2 linked regions of the Arabidopsis thaliana genome follow. The protein of the gene in region 2 interacts with the protein of the main gene of each other region in a pairwise test. Each region holds a gene or a part of one and is shown on either strand. Other genes may lie near its edges.

What was found.
Region 1: the proteins of AT5G10210 (region 2) and AT2G41120 interact in a two-hybrid assay, tested with the Arabidopsis thaliana proteins (one large-scale study listed by BioGRID).

Annotation. Positions count from the first base shown.
Region 1 is NC_003071.7:17,140,886-17,148,424, forward strand, and holds AT2G41120 (DUF309 domain protein), read right to left. Parts: upstream 1,601-7,539; 5' UTR 1,535-1,600; coding exon 1,145-1,534; intron 1,059-1,144; coding exon 911-1,058; intron 817-910; coding exon 569-816; 3' UTR 390-568; downstream 1-389. Other genes in the region: CAM2 (calmodulin 2), read left to right, coding at 1-307; AT2G41130 (basic helix-loop-helix (bHLH) DNA-binding superfamily protein), read left to right, coding at 2,475-2,768, 3,334-3,801.
Region 2 is NC_003076.8:3,199,695-3,211,068, forward strand, and holds AT5G10210 (nitric oxide synthase-interacting protein), read left to right. Parts: upstream 1-6,445; 5' UTR 6,446-6,541; coding exon 6,542-7,135; 3' UTR 7,136-7,285; downstream 7,286-11,374. Other genes in the region: AT5G10190 (Major facilitator superfamily protein), read left to right, coding at 176-921, 1,014-1,446; AT5G10200 (ARM-repeat/Tetratricopeptide repeat (TPR)-like protein), read left to right, coding at 2,684-4,532, 4,627-4,673; ANN6 (annexin 6), read right to left, coding at 7,286-7,801, 7,893-8,111, 8,187-8,332, 9,015-9,090; ANNAT7 (annexin 7), read right to left, coding at 10,044-10,553, 10,766-10,984, 11,082-11,227.

The DNA of each region.
Region 1 (7,539 bases), on a different chromosome or scaffold from region 2:
GCTTCAGGACATGATCAACGAAGTTGATGCGGATGGTAACGGAACCATTGATTTCCCGGAGTTCTTGAACCTAATGGCTAGGAAAATGAAGGACACTGACTCTGAGGAAGAACTCAAGGAAGCTTTCAGAGTTTTCGACAAAGACCAGAACGGTTTCATCTCAGCTGCTGAATTGAGACATGTGATGACTAACCTCGGCGAGAAGCTTACTGATGAAGAAGTTGATGAGATGATTAAGGAAGCTGATGTTGATGGTGATGGTCAGATCAACTACGAAGAGTTTGTGAAGGTTATGATGGCTAAGTGAGGATTGAAACAACTTCTTCGGCTTTCTCCTTTTTTTTTTTTGACTACCTTCTTATGTAATTTCATAAAGAATGTTCCTTCGCTTTGTTCTAAAATTTCATTCATGGCTGGTTTTTGCTGGTTAAAAAGACAGGAATGTTATGTGTTTTTACCTTTTGTCTAAATGACTCATTGTTCATGTTATTGACAGGTTCAGAACCTGATTCTTGAAATATAACAGTAATGAGATCTTCTTCTATTATCTTCGTATTGATCATTCTCTTTAGAATCTGTCGTCGTATGTAGAAGCAAGAAGATGCTTATCGGTTGCGGTAAGGGTAGGGAGCTTAACCCGAGTTGGCTCAGACGATGAATGTAAAGGAGAGAAGAGTATAGAAGTTGTCTCAGACATTCCATTGTTGAAGTCAAGCACAGTCTCTAAGCTGTAAATACTCTCTCCAGCTGCATAACCACCTAAGAGTTGATACGATCTGTCTGATTGATCCATCGTCAAACACATATCTTCTGAACCTATCATCAATCAATTCAGATTTCTTGAGTGTCACAATTAGGTTCAATTTGCTAAATGGTTTCCTCAATCAAAAATTCAAAATTCAAAACTTACAGGCAGCAAGTTCAAGCTGAGTTTGATAAACGAATTCAAGAACTGCGGAGACATCTCGCTCGAATTCATGAAACGGTCCGTCTTCGAAATTCATCTTCCTTAGCTTACATACTCCTTCTCCTAACTCCATCATCGCTCCTTTATGGTTCTTCAAATCCCAAAACACTCACTAAAATTACCTCAAACGTGAACGAAAACGAGCAATAGATGGAGTTAAAAGGAGAGTAGATTTACGTTGTTGAATAGATGGTGAAATCCAACAGCACATTGAAGAATTCCATGGATTAAGGTACGAGTTGGTTCCTCTGCTTGAATCCAAAGAGCTTCAAGCGCGTCATGACTTTTGTAATAATCCCTCTTGTTGAAGAGAGTCACTGCTTCCTCAAAGCTCCAATATTCTTCCTTATCCTCGTCACTATCCTCTTCGTCTTCTCCGGCGTGGTCGTTGTATCTGACGATTGATCTTCGACTGAAACGGACGCGTATGGAGCTAAATTTTGTGGAGGCTCGAATCGTTGAAGCAGTAACAGAGATTGGAGAAGAAGGGATTAAGGAGCTGAAGAAAGAAGATGGAGGAAGCGTGAAAGATGAAGGAACCTGGAAATGTTTCGAAGAAACTGCCATTATCAAAGTCAAAGGTCGAGCTCTGTCTCTACTGCATGGTTCTGGCTTGCGCCAGTTTTGTGGTCACCGTTTTACCAAAACTTTGTAATTGGGCCACTATTTGGGTCCTTATTTTTTATATAATTTAGGCCCATATTTTATGGCGAAGCCTTCCTCATATCATATGGTTGTCTCATTCGTAAATTATTTTTCTGCAGTAGCTTTCTCTTATGATTATCAAATTTGTTGATTATTTAGGGCTTTTATGTTGTCAAAAAAAAAAAATTAGGGCTTTTGAATACTCAAGTTTTTCCAGACATTAAGTTAAAACAAATACTGTATATTATTTAATTTTTGTTAAATAACAAATTTATGTTATCGCATTGCACTGTGTGAGATTTATCCGGACAAAACACAATGATAGAAGCAGCATAAATCATATCAGGATATGCCTTTTATTGTTTATCTTTAATACCTTAGAAATGGTATCTTATCATAATAACTTAAAGGATCATTATTATGGTAGTGGTAAAACATCATTATTATTCATAAGTAAAGATTTAAAGAATGTTCAATTTTTTGAGATTTGTTTTTGAATTTTTGAATTTTGGAAATGCAGTAATATACTATATAGTCCCAAAAGTCCGTATGTATCTTCAGTTCAATTGATGGATCATATAGAACTATTTAGAATGATGATGGTGGCAAGACAATGACCTAATTAAGGACCCTTCCTAAAAATTTCAAACTCTATAGCAACTTTTTCCCCACCAATATATATATAAATACAAAAATCAAGTATTTAACATCTAAAATAAAAAAAATAAAAAAAATAATCTACACTCTCTACCCTCTCATTTCACGTATATATAATCCATCTTTTAGGACAGAACCCACCGAAAGCTCCACAAACCCCATTAATTAACAAAAAACCAAAAGAAGGCGGCGCAAACAAAAGATAATGCAACCAGAGACCTCAGATCAGATGTTGTACTCGTTTCTTGCCGGAAACGAAGTCGGCGGTGGAGGGTACTGCGTCTCCGGCGACTACATGACGACTATGCAGAGCTTATGTGGGTCTTCGTCGTCGACGTCATCGTATTACCCACTGGCGATCTCCGGCATCGGAGAAACGATGGCTCAAGACAGAGCTTTAGCTGCTTTGAGGAACCACAAAGAAGCTGAGAGAAGAAGGAGAGAGAGGATCAATTCTCATCTCAACAAGCTTCGTAACGTACTCTCTTGTAATTCTAAGGTAATATAAACTTTTGATACTTTTTCATTTGGCGTATGTATCTCTCCTCGTACATATGATGTTTATACATCTGTACGTATATATTTCTTTGAAATTTTAAGAAAAGATTTTTGAAATGGGTATATAATTAGGGTTTTGCATCTTCTCTAACCCAGAGTTTACATCTTTAAAATTTTCTCATGTTTCATTCGATTTGGTGTTAGCTCATGAATACTGTACTTTTTCATGATAACATTTTATAATCATTTGGTTTCAATTGAGTCTTTTTTGTCTTACTATTCTTACTTATTAACAAGCACATATTTATCAAAGATGATCCCTAATTTTCTACATTTATAATTCTAAAGATTGATATATATTTTGATTTGAATATTCAAAACTGGCGAGTAGTGATCAGATGAGAAAAACGAAAAGCTTCATGGCCTTTTTGTGAAGCTCGTTGGGATAGTATATCACTTTTTGGGAAAGTTCTCAAGCTTTTTCAGTTGATTTGATTTGATACAAACATCAAATTTCAACTTCTTGATCCAAACTTTTCATTGTAATTTCATGTTTCTATTTTCAGACCGATAAAGCCACACTGCTCGCCAAAGTAGTTCAACGAGTCAGAGAACTTAAACAGCAAACCCTAGAGACCTCCGACTCCGACCAAACATTATTACCATCAGAGACCGACGAAATTAGTGTTCTACACTTTGGAGACTATTCAAACGACGGTCATATAATCTTCAAAGCCTCTCTATGTTGTGAAGATAGATCAGATCTCTTGCCGGACCTTATGGAGATTCTCAAGTCTCTTAACATGAAGACTCTCCGAGCTGAGATGGTAACCATTGGTGGTCGGACAAGAAGTGTTCTTGTCGTAGCTGCTGACAAAGAGATGCACGGCGTCGAGTCTGTGCATTTTTTGCAAAATGCTCTCAAGTCGCTGCTTGAGCGGTCAAGCAAGTCGTTGATGGAACGTAGTTCTGGTGGTGGAGGAGGAGAACGGTCAAAGCGGCGTCGTGCGCTGGATCACATCATAATGGTGTGAAATGATGAGAATTGAGCACACTAAAAAGTCTATAATTGATTAATATATATAGGGTATGATCATAATTAACTTGGTTATAATTACCAAAACCTTTTTTATTCCTCTTTAATAATATATATGTTATATGGTTTTAGTTACTAAGTCTTGGGAGTGTAAGCAAATGTTGTAAGTAGGTTTGGTGTGTTCTTTTTCTTTTCTTTTTTTTTTCTTTTTCAAGAAAAAGAAAAAGATCTATATTATATATAAAGAATATTTGTCATGTTATTTTCCTCTATTTATATATATCTTTTTGGTTGTTGGTGTGATGACTAGGGTTTTGAGATTGTGGGAATATTTGTCGACGTAGAAGAATCTAAGTAACAGATGTGATTGGTGAAGTCCAAAAGAAACTAGGGTACTTCGATTTACATATACACACTATACATGTGAATATATATGTATATATAGTGAAGAGAAGGTCTATGTTTGTATGCTGTGAGTTTCAAAGCGACCCTTATGTCACCTTTGTCCCCAAATGAATCCAAACTCTCCTATCTCTTTCTTTGTTCATGTCTTTCTAAATGTGTACATTTGACCACATTTTTCAGACCAAAGAATATAAGCAGTGCCTGGTTTTCTTTCTTTCTTATATATTCGTATATATCCATGTGATTATGACGAACTGTTTTACTTTTAGTTGAGATTAATTAAGTGTTAGCGAAATGTCTAGTCTACTGTTTTTGTTGATCATATGGAAAAGACGTGCATTTATGCATGACACAAAAATGCTTAAACGTATATTCGAAAAAGTAACACTTTATATACGTTGTATATTTAGGACGCCAAATTTCATATTATGTACGGCTACATGTACAATGAAAGTGTGATGAGACTTGAGAGGATTAACCAAAAATACTGAAAACTTACTTTAATTTACTTTCTTTTAGTTTATTTTACTAATCGAATTTTGGCTCTAAAGTTTCGTGTGAATAAGAAGAATATGTTAGAATGTATAATGATGTGTATCCGTATCTAGTGAGGTTTGTACATATCTGTTATATTTATAATGAAAGTGTTTTGAAATATTGTAGAGATACTATGTTTGCTATGTATCTCTATTCTGGTTTCTTCAATAGGTATCCGTTTTGTTTATAGAAAATGGCTCACCAACTTGCCTCTATGGGAGGCTGGGGATATATGAACCAAATGACTCAATAATATAGCCAATTAGACCATTAGTAAATTGGAATATATATGAAGAAGAAGGTGAATGTGGGATTAAAGGAAGAGGAAGCGTGAGAAAAGGAGACTGACAAAAGGAAATAAAATTGATGGGCCATTGGCTCTATGAGACAAAAAGGACCGACTCTTCTCATCACTCTCCCTTTTCCCTTTCTCTCTTTTTTAATAATTGTTTTCTATAAACTATAATTTTATGGCGAATTTAATAAAATAATATTGAAGAAAACTAAGAGAAGAAGAAGAAGGAAAAAAAAAGGTGGAGAAAGTTTGTCCATGGAGCGTGATGGTTTTGGGGCAGCTGGTGTCCCCTCTATACTCAACCTCTCGACCAAAAAGTATATCTTATAGAAATATTTTTAGCTTTTGCACTATATATTATTGTTAAAGTTATATTTGTATTCAACTCAAAAGAAACTATAGAAAAACTTCTAATTTTTTTAAAAATTCCTTCTGAAGTTTATGGGTAGTGTGGCAAAAGCAATCATTAACCTCACACGTTAGTGTTCCATCGTGTGAACATGTGAGTGCCCTTTCTTATCTCACCACACAATTTTGACCATCCTATTTCCTTTTTGAATATCACTATTTTTTCTTTGTGTTTACTTTGTTTTATCTACATTTCACAAACAAGCAAATAGAAGTTATCATATTATATGTCAAATATGTGTTTGTTTTCATGTGTTCTTATTGTCTTTCTTGGTCAAGTGTTCTTGTTTACCTACACAGACAAATGTGGGAACCTTTTCACTTACTTCGGGGTTTTACCGGAAAGTTAGAAAACCTTACTAAATTATTGCTTTGCTATTAACAAAGATATCTTACTCATTCTTTAAACCAGTGTTTCATTTTGTCCATTGTCAGAACTTATATTCATTTTAACGTTTTAATTGATCTATCGTAGTAGTGAACCATCTCTAAAATAAAAATTCAATACTAATTGAAAATCTAAAACCAATAGATATTAAGAAATCATTTGTTAAATTAACTTACATCTATACATCTATATATGCGACTACTGTCTAGTTTATCTGGAATCCACAATATGTTTTTTGTTTCTCCAAAAACTTTTTGATAACTTTAAAAATCTAGTAAATGCAACATTTTCTAACCTTTTAAAGTATATTTGAGGGTTAAACCGAGAATTAAGACTTACAAGTCTTGGGATAATCACTCTATAAGAAACACTTTATTGTGGTTTGGTTCACTTTTAAACCTTACTAGATATTTTCTAAAAGTTAGTATACATAAAAGTTTACAAATTGTATCTATCTATAAAAAAAATTATTTTATAGTTTACAATTGTTATTAAGTAACGTCTTGCCAAACCCGTCCCGCCAACCCGTCCCGTAAAAAACTATTTATTTTATTAATATTGATCTTATTTATGATATGTTTATGAATTATTGTCTAAATATTTTGTAATTTTGTAGTAATTAAATGCTATCAAATATCTCTGCGGTTTGATGATTATAATCGAATTATTATAGTCATGGAGAAAAGCAATATCAAAAATAATAATTTTGTAATAATTAAATGATATTAAATATTTTGCAAGTTTTATTTTAGTAACTAATCGTGTAGTTAATGTTGAGAGATTTAGGGAAGATTGTTAAATGTCAAATATTTAATTATTCAAAGATTTTTTTTTCTAATTATCAAAAACAAACATTAAAATCTAGTGGCAGTTATTGTAAATAATTCCCAACTATAGGATTTATTTCACAAAATGGCTGCTATATAGATTTTTTAGATAAAACCGATCAAACTCTTTTTCTTTTCAATTATTAAACTCTTTGATGGGTTAAGAAACATAAAAACAAAAAGGAAAACAGAGGAGAAGAATCGAGGATCCAAAAGCCCATCTAAGGTGAGAGAAGAGGGGTCCAAACTGAGATTGGAACAAAATCGGTTTTAGGGTTTCAGAAAGGCCCAAATTAGATTCGAGTAGAGCAGTCCCACAGTGACTCCGACATGACAACACTTGAGTTACACAAGACCACCACGTCTCTATACTCTAAGTCTATGCCGTACGTCAAAGGCACCAACTCTTTCATCACATATATTATTAATCAATTTATACAAAACTCCAAATAATTCACGGGACCAATACTGAATCGAAACTAAACGAATTTGTTAAAATCGGACTTTGTAGATGCAACCGAAACAGAGTAAGTACATGAAAATACGTACAACTGCATGTGATTTATTGTGAAATTCTATGGGAAAAAATTGAATTGACATATTATGCAAAATGCCCGTATGTTACATAAACTTTTATTTTTGTGTGTGTGACTTAACATGAGTGTATAAATGGAACTTTTTTTGTTTTATTTTGTTTCATATAAGAATTTACGATGTAGGAAAAAAATTAGAAATGAAAAGAGGTGGCAAAAGAAAAAGAAGTGGGAGAAAATAGATGTCAAGGAATATTGATATTCTTCTTTTCTCCGATACATTACTTTTCCTTCCATTATCTTCTAGTAATAATTTAGGCTTTTGCTGCCAAATAACTCACAA
Region 2 (11,374 bases):
ATTTTTTTGTTCTTATGTGAAGGCATTAGAACTTAAGACTGTGTCATTGTGTTCTTCAGGGGATTGCTTCAATTTCATTGCAATGATTATGAACTCATTGCAAGTTTCATTTGTCACAAAGGTGAATCGAATGGATTTTACATTGTTCCTATATATGTTTGCTGGTTGAAACTAGGTGGCAGTATCAAGAGGCTTGAACGGGATAGGGCTAGCCATTGTGACACCCGCGATTCAGTCCCTAGTCGCTGACTCAACTGATGACTATAACCGTGGGATGGCATTTGGGTGGTTAGGATTCACATCAAACATTGGTTCCATACTTGGCTATGTATGTTCCATCCTCTTTGCCTCAAAATCTTTCAATGGTGTCGCTGGATGGAGAATCGCTTTCCTTTTGGTAGCAGTCGTTAGCGTGATAGTAGGCATTTTGGTCCGTCTCTTCGCAACAGATCCTCACTACAGCGACAGAAAGATCACAAAACATGTCAAAGACAAACCTTTCTGGTCAGACATAAGAGATCTATTGAAAGAAGCTAAGATGGTGATAAAGATTCCGTCTTTCCAAATCTTTGTCGCTCAGGGAGTTTCGGGTTCTTTCCCTTGGTCAGCTTTGGCTTTTGCACCATTGTGGCTAGAACTCATTGGTTTCTCCCACAAAACAACCGCGGTTCTCGTGACTCTTTTCACCATTTCTTGCTCTCTTGGAGGTTTGTTTGGAGGATACATGGGAGATACTCTCGCCAAGAAGTTCCCAAATGGCGGTAGGATTTTCCTCTCTCAGGTAAGCTCTGGCTCGGCAATTCCTTTAGCTGCGATTTTGCTTATCGGATTACCTGATGATCCCTCCACGGCCTTTAGCCACGGTCTGGTTCTTGTCATCATGGGATTATGCATCTCATGGAACGGTGCAGCTACAAACGGGTAAGTTTAATACTTATATATTTCAATCATATTCAAAATATTTTGGCTTTTCTTTACTTCCGGAAGCATCTACTTGAAATGGTTTTATACAGTCCAATATTTGCAGAGATAGTTCCTGAGAGAGCACGAACGAGCATCTACGCGTTAGACAGATCATTCGAGTCGATTCTAGCTTCTTTTGCTCCTCCTATAGTAGGGATGCTTGCTCAGAACATCTATGGATATAAACCAATCCCGGAAGGATCCACAAGCTCGGTCAAGATTGATACAGATAGAGCGAACGCAGCATCGCTCGCTAAAGCATTATACACATCGATTGGGATCCCGATGGTGATCTGTTGCACAATCTACTCGTTCCTATATTGCACATACCCGAGGGACCGAGACAGAGCAAAAATGCAAGCCTTGATCGAGTCAGAGATGCAACAACTCAATGAAGAGGAAGATGAGATCGAAGTGAAGTGTTTTGGAGCTGAAGAACACGATGAGGCTTATTTGCTTAAGCAGCATCAGAATGAGAGTTAAGAACAGAGTCAAATGATGATGATTTGGGTTGTTATTGACAATAGGGTTCCATACTTCAATTATAGGAAGATGGGGTCATAGTTATAATTTTTGTAAAAGAAAAGTACTGAAGTGAAATATACCGGTAGATAACATTTACAAGAACAGAGTAAAAGGAAAATTACTGATTTTTGTTTTTGTAAGGAAAAATATTAATGAGTATTGAATGATTATTCGCTTTCTTAATTTGCAAATCCCATAATAAAATTAATGTGGAGTATTAATTTGGTAAAAACATTAGACTTAGTTAATACCGAACCGGACTTAAACCGGATTCCGACAGAACAAGAGGCAGGCGCGTCAGTATATTGGAGTTATTTCCAATTTTGGGTTCTGATAATTGAACTTTACTCTTCTTTCTCTCCCAAACTTTTATACACAAGAGAAGATCCAACTCTCTCTCTTCTTCATCGTTGAAGTCACTTCCAATGTCGGACTGAAGAAGAGAAACCAGAAGAATCGTGACCTAAATGCAACTGTACAGATTCTTCAGTTAGTTGCAAAGATCGAAGAAATAGCTGTTTTTGTAGGGTTACTTTGCCAATTTCCTAATTCTAGGTATCTTCTTTTTCTTCTTAGCCTTTTTTCTCTCAGAGTCAAAATTCAGCAAGCAAAAGAAAGATAAAAACTTTCTCTTTTTGTTGTTTGTTGTAACGTATACAAGACTGGATTTTTATTCTTTTTATTTTATGGGTTTCTCGAAAGATTCGTGCTTTCATTGTAAAGTGTCTAGAATCCTATTTCTCTCTACTGGGTTTGGGTTCTTATACTCAATTAGCTGATTTGAAGTGTTTTTGGTACTTTAGATCTTACTGTTAGACACATCAAGAATCTCCACTGTTTGATATATGTTGTCCTTCATGTCCCCAGAGATCTAATTGATTCGAGCAATGTTGTCTTTTAGTTGCGGAATTTATTTGTTGTGTTCGATTGTGAAAATTTACAAGTTCATTTTGTCTATATTTCAGCTGTCTCTTTGTTTCCCTCTAGGATTTTTCAAAAATTAGGACCACTCAGTTTCTTTTGTAAGATCCAATTTCGCCTTTCGTTTTCAGGATTTTGACTTGGCAAGTAGTAACATATTATAAATTTATTCATTTTCAACTAAAGTGATATGTTTTTGGTGTTTGGTGTTATAGACTAATTGAGTGATAGCAACATCAAGGAAGCAGAAGCAAGTTTTGGTTTTTGTTTGTCAATGGATAAAGCTTCCTCACAAGAGTGTCCTTATCCAGGATGTTTCTTCTGTGTAATGAAAGAAGGAAACCCGAGTAAACGAAGATCCTGCATTCTCAAATTCTTTAGAGATCTTCCTTCTCAAGACGATGATGGTCAAGTTCTTCCCATTAGTGGTCTCTGGAACACAGCAATGGCTCATCCTAATGATCCTGAGTTCATTGAGCTTGGAATCTTTGAGTGTATGTCTGCTTTGATATGGAAAGGACTTAAAAACCGGCGTTGGCTATCTCATGACCAGAACATATACATTCCTTACTACGCGGCTCACATTATCGGGTCTTACACTATGAACATGGAAGAGTTTGCTGAGAGAGCTGTAGAAGCTGGTGTGATTCCTCCACTTGTTGAGCTTTTAAGAGGTAGGCTTACTTGGGTTGAACAGAGAGTGGCGGTTCGTGCTTTAGGGCATTTAGCTACTTACCCGAGTACTTTTCCCGCTGTTGCGGATCACGGAGAGATCCTCGAGCTTGCTATACAGTTGGCAATGAGTTCGTTGGAGATAGTTTATTCTCATTTTTACCAGTATCCGGATCGAAGGTTGAGTTACCATTGTGATCTGCTTACACGAGGCATGGGAGGTGTAGAGATGGAGTCGAGAAAAGCAGAGGAATGGGCGAGCCAGTTGCAGTGTTGGTCTCTTCAGCTCATAAACTGTTTCGCTTTTAAACCCGAGTTTCTTCCCACTTTGTGTAAACCTGAGTTCTTGGTGAATCTTCCAGTTATGTGGGGAGGACTTGTGAATGAGAACTCGCCTGCTGGTATCGGTTTGCTTAGAACAATCTGTCAGCATAAACTAGGTCGTGGACCTGTCTCTGCATGTGCAGGAATGATTGAGGCCTTGTGTAATATCGCTCGTTCTTCTGATGATTGGCAGTATATGGCGATTGAATGTCTTCTTTGGTTGCTTCAAGATCCTAATACGTCTCACAAGGTGATTGATAAGGCGGTGCCAACGCTTGTAGATCTTGCAGAGATCACAAACTTGGGTGATCACAAGAAACTTGGAGATTCCATTGTGAGTGTTCTTCAAGAATGCAGCTCAATGGGTAACCGTTCAAGGGAATTGATCGAAGAAACGGTAAATTCTCGACAGAGACTGAAATGGGAGAAGAGTATGCCTAAAGAGGACCTTCATATCAAACAAGCAGCAGCTTTAGTGGTCAAACTCGAAGGAAACTCTCTCTTTTCATCAGGAGATATCGCGGGTGCAGCGGAAAAGTACTCGGAAGCTTTGTCTCTATGCCCAATGAGGTCGAAGAAGGAAAGAGTAGTGTTGTATAGCAATCGAGCTCAGTGTCATCTCTTGCTACAACAGCCTTTGGTTGCTATAAGTGACGCTACACGTGCGCTTTGCTTGCACAATCCTGTAAACCGGCATGCTAAGAGTCTTTGGAGAAGAGCTCAGGCTTATGATATGTTAGGTCTAGCTAAAGAGAGTTTGTTAGATGCGATTCTGTTCATCAACGAATGTTCTCAGTCGAATGATCCGGATCTCTCCATGAGACAGAACAAGGTTCCTGATTACGCAGAGAGGTTGGTGAAGAAACAGATGCGTGCAGCTTGGTTGTTTAAAGAAGCGGCATTGAAGCATGGAGGTGTGCATAGGAAAGGTGAAGAGAGGGAAGTGTATGGAAATGAAACAGATGATTCGGAATGGGAAACAGCGAGTGAGAGTGATATAGGAGATGATGGAAGGGATCATATGGGACTTGATGATGAGGAGGAGGAGGAGGAAGATGAAGGTCACGGTGAGAAGTGGAAGAACCGGGATAAATCGAGTGAGAAAAATGAGAAAACTTCTGCCAAAGGTGAGATTCTTGCATGATTATGATCAACACATTGTTGTCTTGATTTCAAATTAGTTAATGGTTTATTGGTGACACAATCTATGAATTTGTTCAGGTATGAGGCATGGATACAGCATAAAGCTTGCAGAAGATGAAATATGAAACCTTGAAACACAACAAGGTCGTTACAAGAAGTTGAAGAACAGAGAAGACGTTGAATGGGTTTGAGTCTTTTTTACAAGCAAGAAACTTGCTTCATGGATATCGTAAGTTTTCTTTTACTTTTTTTTTTTTTTTTCGTTTCTTTATTTAGTTTTGTGTGATTGTAGGATTTGTGGTAAAATTTTATCCATTTTGAAGGAGTAAAGAAGAAAGGAACAATTGTTTTGTTTTTTCAGTGATTTTATTTATTTTTATTTTGTGGTGTATTTATTCAGAGACAAAGAGGAGTTCCAATTTGTAAAAAAATATTTTTTCCTTATATTAAGAAATGATTTGTGATTGAGAGAGATATTTTTTTTTGGGGGTCAATGATTGGCCGAGATTGTAGATTAAAAAACATTTTAAATGGATATTCGCACGTTAGCTAATACAGTAATAAAAAATTTGTACAAAGATAGAGAATTTTTGTGGGTCTTAGCTTATTGGATTGCGATATTGTAAAGTAAAAGTTTTGAAAAATGGAAGATCTGCATTTAGTCCACCGAGGATCATATGCATAGTCGATATTGACACAAGAGTGAAATTTGATTGGAGGAAAGAGGATATGTACCAAGCCACTATTTACCTTTTTTTTACGTCAGGCTCTTGAGATGATCTTCTTAGTTTTGATGTCTTTTTGCAAATTGCAGTGACGTTTTCTAAATTGGTACACTAAGTTTAAAAATGCTGTCCTTTGGATAACTCCAACGGATGATATGAACTAAAACAATGCTGTCCTTTCATATTATGTAAGAAAACACTCACTCGGTTAACTATGAGCAACCCACTACAAGTAAGTATTGTAAAAACGTTTTTTTCTTTCAAATTCCAAGTATTTTTTAAATTTTGTAATAGAAAATAATGATTTGGGTTTTGTAAGTTAGTATTAGGATTTAGATTTTTTTAAATAGTAACGAAAGTGTTTGATAAAAAAGTAAATAGTAACGAAAGTAACCTAAATTGACATTTCCATTACCCTTGAGATGATCAAAATAAACACAATTTCTGCATGATTATGAGTTTATGACTATGCTTATTAGCAATGATTTGTTCTTTCTATAATTTAAAACCAGTTGAAACTAAAATTGTTTTTGTAAAATTTAATAGATGATATTATTAGTATACAAAACTTTTGTCAACAATGAATTGTGTGATAAGAGTTTTTTTGGAGATTTTCTTATGTAATAAAGTCTATCTTGTATGACTACAATTGATCATGGGATTCGTGGCTAATATTTTTTGTAATTATATCTTTTGAGTCAAATTCCATACTCATTTTAATATATGCAATCGAATGTATCTACTAATAATTTGTTCTTATTTAATTTGATTCTGTTGACTCTGTTCCAAAACAACTTTCGGCTATTGGATGTGTCCACGCGAAATGTAATATAATAATGATCAAGTCTTCAAAATGGCACACCTTAATTTCTTTTTGCAAATTATAAAAATTCTTTATATGGTGATCCTACGTATCTATCTAATTATCTCCCAAAACTATGGGCAAGAGTCATTATTAAAATCGACCCTTGGTCTTTTGAGATGCTCAAGAGTTTTAATTTCTAAAATATTAAGCCTTCACTAACATGATTAGAAAAAAATAAAAAGTTAAAAACATGATTAGAAATTTAGAATATTTTAATAAGTACAATGTGGAAATCTAGTGTAAACTTTCCTCGAACATTCCCCATAGATTTATATAAATAGCTAGTGAGAATTTGTTCATGCACATATTCATCACAAAGGAACTCACTGCTCTTAAATTTGCTCTAATTGTTATTACCTTGGTAAATAATATATTCTTGGTTCGATTCGAAATTTTCAAGCAAATGGGTATCGTTGAAAACATTCGTTCCCTTAAATTTGAAGTGAAAATCGTGGAAGCTAGAAACGTAGAGCTCAAGTCATCGCCAACCACTCTCTTCGTTAGGTTCTATCTCCATGCAGGGAATAACAGTAAGATTGAACTAAACACTCCAGAGATCCGTTCGAGATCAGACTGTGAGGTCATTTCCTGGAACCAATCATTCGGTCTGGAGTGCCAAGGGAACGAAACCGCGGTCGAGGAATTGAAGCAACAAAGTGTTGTTTTCGAACTACGGAGAAGGAAAACGACGCCGTTTTTGAAGAAGTGGTCGAAATCAGAGTTGGTGGGTAGAGGAAAGATTTTTTGGAAATCGGTTATAGAGACTGATGGGATGGAAATAGAGAGATTTGTAGTGATGGATGAGACAAAAGATCACGTTCTGGAAGATTGTGATAAGCATAAACCTCTTTTGTTGAAGATAGCTTTAAAAGTGCAAGCTTCAAAAATCGTGAACACTAAGAGAGTGGAAGATCTTTGTGAGTGTAAAGATTGTAGAACATGTAACTGCGTAGATTATGAAGCTTTTGTTGTAGCTTGTGCGTTAGCTGGGATTTAGTTTGTAAGAATAAAATTTAAAGAAGAGATGATTCAAAGAAACCAGAATAAGTTGTTGCAGTAAAATGTAAAAACTAAGGACCAAAGTTCAAAGAAAATGAAAAACAAATAACAACTGTCTTATAAAAGACTATGAAACGATGATGTTGTTTCAAGCATGGTCATGTCCAAGAAGGGCGAGAAGCATATCCTTGTAGTCACCAGAAGTGTCATTAGCAATGGCTCGATCAAGAGGAACACTGTTCCTGCGTAAGTATTCTTCTTTGATCCGCTCCAGGTCGACCTCTGCTCTTGTAGTGACCACTCTAGTAAGTGCCCACTCGTCTGTTCCCATCCTGTTGATGGCTCGACGTAGAACCTTCTCAAAGTACTTCTCTGGATATGTCAAGCATTTGATCGCGGTTTTGAGTAATTGAACATAATCATCGTTCGAATCTTCTTTGAGAAACTTGTTAATGGAACTTCCAAACTTGTCCTTGAAGTGATTGAGTGTTGCATTGATCTGTGCTTTGCTCCTTGTTGTCAAGATTCTGATGAGATCTTCATCAGTGTAAGCCTTCTCAGTGATCTTCTTGTGAAGTGTCTTAGCTTCGGATCTAGCCAGCTTCACGTTGACCTCATCAGCATTTCCATCGTACCTGAAGGTGCTCACAAGAGGAACCAATAGCTGCATTTTTACAAGTGGTCAAAACAAAACAACATATCATCAGAAACTTACTAATTGGTTTAAAGAATGATATACATAAATCTTTCACTACCTTTCGGATATTTCCAGATGTATGGTATGCAACATCTTCCTCGAGAGAGGTCTTGTAGCGAACATGGTATGCTTGCTTGGTCTTGAAAAACTCAAGAGAAGGTCTAGTACAAGCGATTTCAACTAGGACCCAAATGTTTTTGGTGAACAATTTGGTAGATTCATTGGCCAAATACGCATCTCTCTCCGTTGGATCAAGAGTCCACAACATCACAACTCTCTGTTTTCAAGCAAAGTAAGATGTTCAAAATAAGATGAAGAAATATAGATTTTGTATCTTTTAGTTTTGACAAACCTCAAAGTCACCAGAAAGCTCTCCGTCTAATTCCTTGAGAAGATCCTTATTGTAGTTAGCAGCATAAACGGCACGAATGAAACTGCGTTGCGTTGCGTTTCTATGAGCCAAAATTGATATGATCATCCCTTCATTAGTTCCCCATCCTGCGCCACACAAAAACAAATTTCAAACCCAAGTTTAGTCAGATAGAGAGTATGTAACAAAACCTAACTAAACCAAACCAAAATTTTACGACAGTTAGAAATTAACTGTAAATATACAAGAAAGCTGATGTTCGCTAGTAGAAAAAAAACCAAGCTTGAAAAAATCTTAGAAGATTATTAGAATTTTTTTTTTGGGTTTAAATCTGAATAAAAAAATTGTTACGAAAGCAACAAGTTAATCTGTTTAAAAGAGTTGTCTAATCGTCGATTACAAACCAAACGGTCAGGAAACGCTCCAACATAAAATCAATTGCATCCAAAATCAGCAAAAGAGTAAATAATATGTCACACAATTTTGCACCGTAACAAAAGAATCATGCAATGGAGTATAACCACAAAACTTCACGAAGTTAAGACTTCCTAAGAATCATTTGAAAAACGAAATAAAAAAGAGCTAACTTATCATCCACTTCTTAAAATTAAACCTATATACGTGTCATCAACCAAACCAGCAAGCTAGATCAGTAGATCAGACCTGTCATGATAATAGATTGAACTATTGATAATCAACCCAATTAAATAATATCAAAATGCAAATGATTCAATCAAAGCATGAATGTGAAGGCCTAGTATTTAACTTTTACTAAATCAATCTAACAATGAAGGGATGGATCATGAAAACCTTTGAATGCCTTGTGGAGCTGCTCGGAGTCTTCTTCGGGAAGAGGAATATTTGCTGGAATTTTGAGAGACGCCATTCTCCGACCACTGAATATTTCTCTAGCTCTCTAGATGAGACGAAGAAAATGTGGGACGAGGAACATGCACACTGTCTTAAATAATGAAATGATATCCCAATTTTTTATATTTTATTAATTATTTTTGTTAAAAATTAGATTTAGCAATCTATGTAAATCAGTAAAAGAGGAAAAAATTATTAATACAGGCTGTCTACAGTGGATAGAATTGATAAAACAAGTATAATGTTTTGCATTTTTTTGTCATAAAGCTGAATATTAAATGGAAATTGCACATTTTCTTAAATAATGAACTGAAATCTCAAATTTTGTTAATTATTAATCAATTTTGTTTTAAAATAGACTTAACAATTTAAGTAAATTAGTAAAATGAGAGATTTTATTAATACAATTACAGGCTGTATACAGTGAACAGAAATGAAAAAACAAGAATCATGTTTTGGGTTTTTGTCATAAAGCTGGATTTTAAATGCACTTTAAACAGCTTAAATATGGGATTACATAGGTACCGAAATTTAACTTTTAATTTATTTATTTTTTCTGTTATATAATACACGCATATTCCTTAATTAATTTCATTATTTGGATATTTCATTATTTGGACATGGATTATAACACATGGCGGACAAAACATTAGAACCAATATTGTTCATTTTAACAAGATGTATTAAGTATGGGTTTAGCTTTAATTTTAAAACCATATAATTAAGGGGAAAATTATAACTCATTAGTTTATACTAAATTAATTATAAATAGATCAATAATAATTTTTGATATGGTTTTATAATTTTTAGATTTAAAAAAAAAAATAACTGAAAACATCGACGACAAATGAAACTGAAGACACTAAATTCTTAACATGACCAAGTTGCAAGTCCAACCACAACTGTTTTATTAAACACAAAGCGATAAAATTTAGTTTTTTTTCTTAAACAAAACTTGCAAATGTTATTTCAAGCATGGTCATGTCCGAGAAGAGCGAGAAGTATATCCTCATAGTCACCATGAGTGTCTTTAGCAATGGCTCGATCAAGAGGAACACTGTTTCTACGTATATATTCCTCTTTGATCCGTTCCATGTCAAACTCTGCTCGTGTAGTGACCACTCTCGTTAGTCCCCACTCATCTGTTCCCAATTTGTTGATGGCTTGACGTAGAACTTTCTCAAAATACTTCTCTGGATATGTCAAGCATTTGATCACGGCTTTGAGCAATTGAATGTATTCGTTTTCCGAATCCTCCTTTAGGTATTTGCTCATGGAAGTTCCGAAATTGTTTTTGTAGTGATTGAGAGTTGCGCTGATTTGTGCTTTGCTCCTGGTTGTCAAGATTCTTATGAGATCATCATCAGCATAAGCCTTTTCCTTGATCTTCTCGTGAAGTATCTTAGCCTCGGACCTAGCTAACGTCATGTTCACTTCATCTCCATCGTACCTAAAAGTGCTCACAAGAGGTACCAAGAGCTGCATAAACAAAAACATATGTCACAAATTTATATGCATTCTTGACATAGTTATACGAACTGAGTTTGTTAGCTAGGAATCTTAATTACATCAATAAACATATGAGATTTCATCTAGTATACAAAATAGATGAACTAGATACATTTGATTTTATTGGATATCTCAGATGGAATTAAGCTCATGAAACTTTCACATAATTAATTATATAATACCTTTCGAATGTCTCCAGATGTGTGGTATGCGACGTCTTCCTCGAGGGAGGTCTTGTAGCGGGCTTGGTATGCTTGCTTGGCATTAAAGAGTTCAAGAGCAGATCTAGTACAAGCGATTTCGACAAGAACCCAATTGTTTTTGGTGAACATTTTGGTAGATTCTTTTGCCAAATAAGCATCTCTCTCCGCTGGTTCAAAAGTCCACAACATCACAGCTCGCTGTTTTGTTTACAAAAAAAGAAAACATAGTTAAACAGATCAGTAGACTAAAACCAAAAGAAGACGAATATATAAAGATGTTGTCTCAAATTAAAACCTCAAAGTCACCGGAAAGCTCTCTGTCTAATTCCTTGAGAAGATCCTTATTGTAGTTAGCAGCATAAACGGCACGAATGAAACTACGTTGCGTTGCATTTCTGTGAGCCAAGATTGATATGATCATCCTCTCATTGGTTCCCCATCCTGCATTAGACAAATTCACAATTACATTAAAGAAAAATAGAGTCAGAATCATGTTTGAAATCATTCATCAGTATTAGATTGAAAAAGATATATAATTCTAGTAAAATTTATCTCGTTTCATCAATTTTTGAAAGGTCTATTAAATAC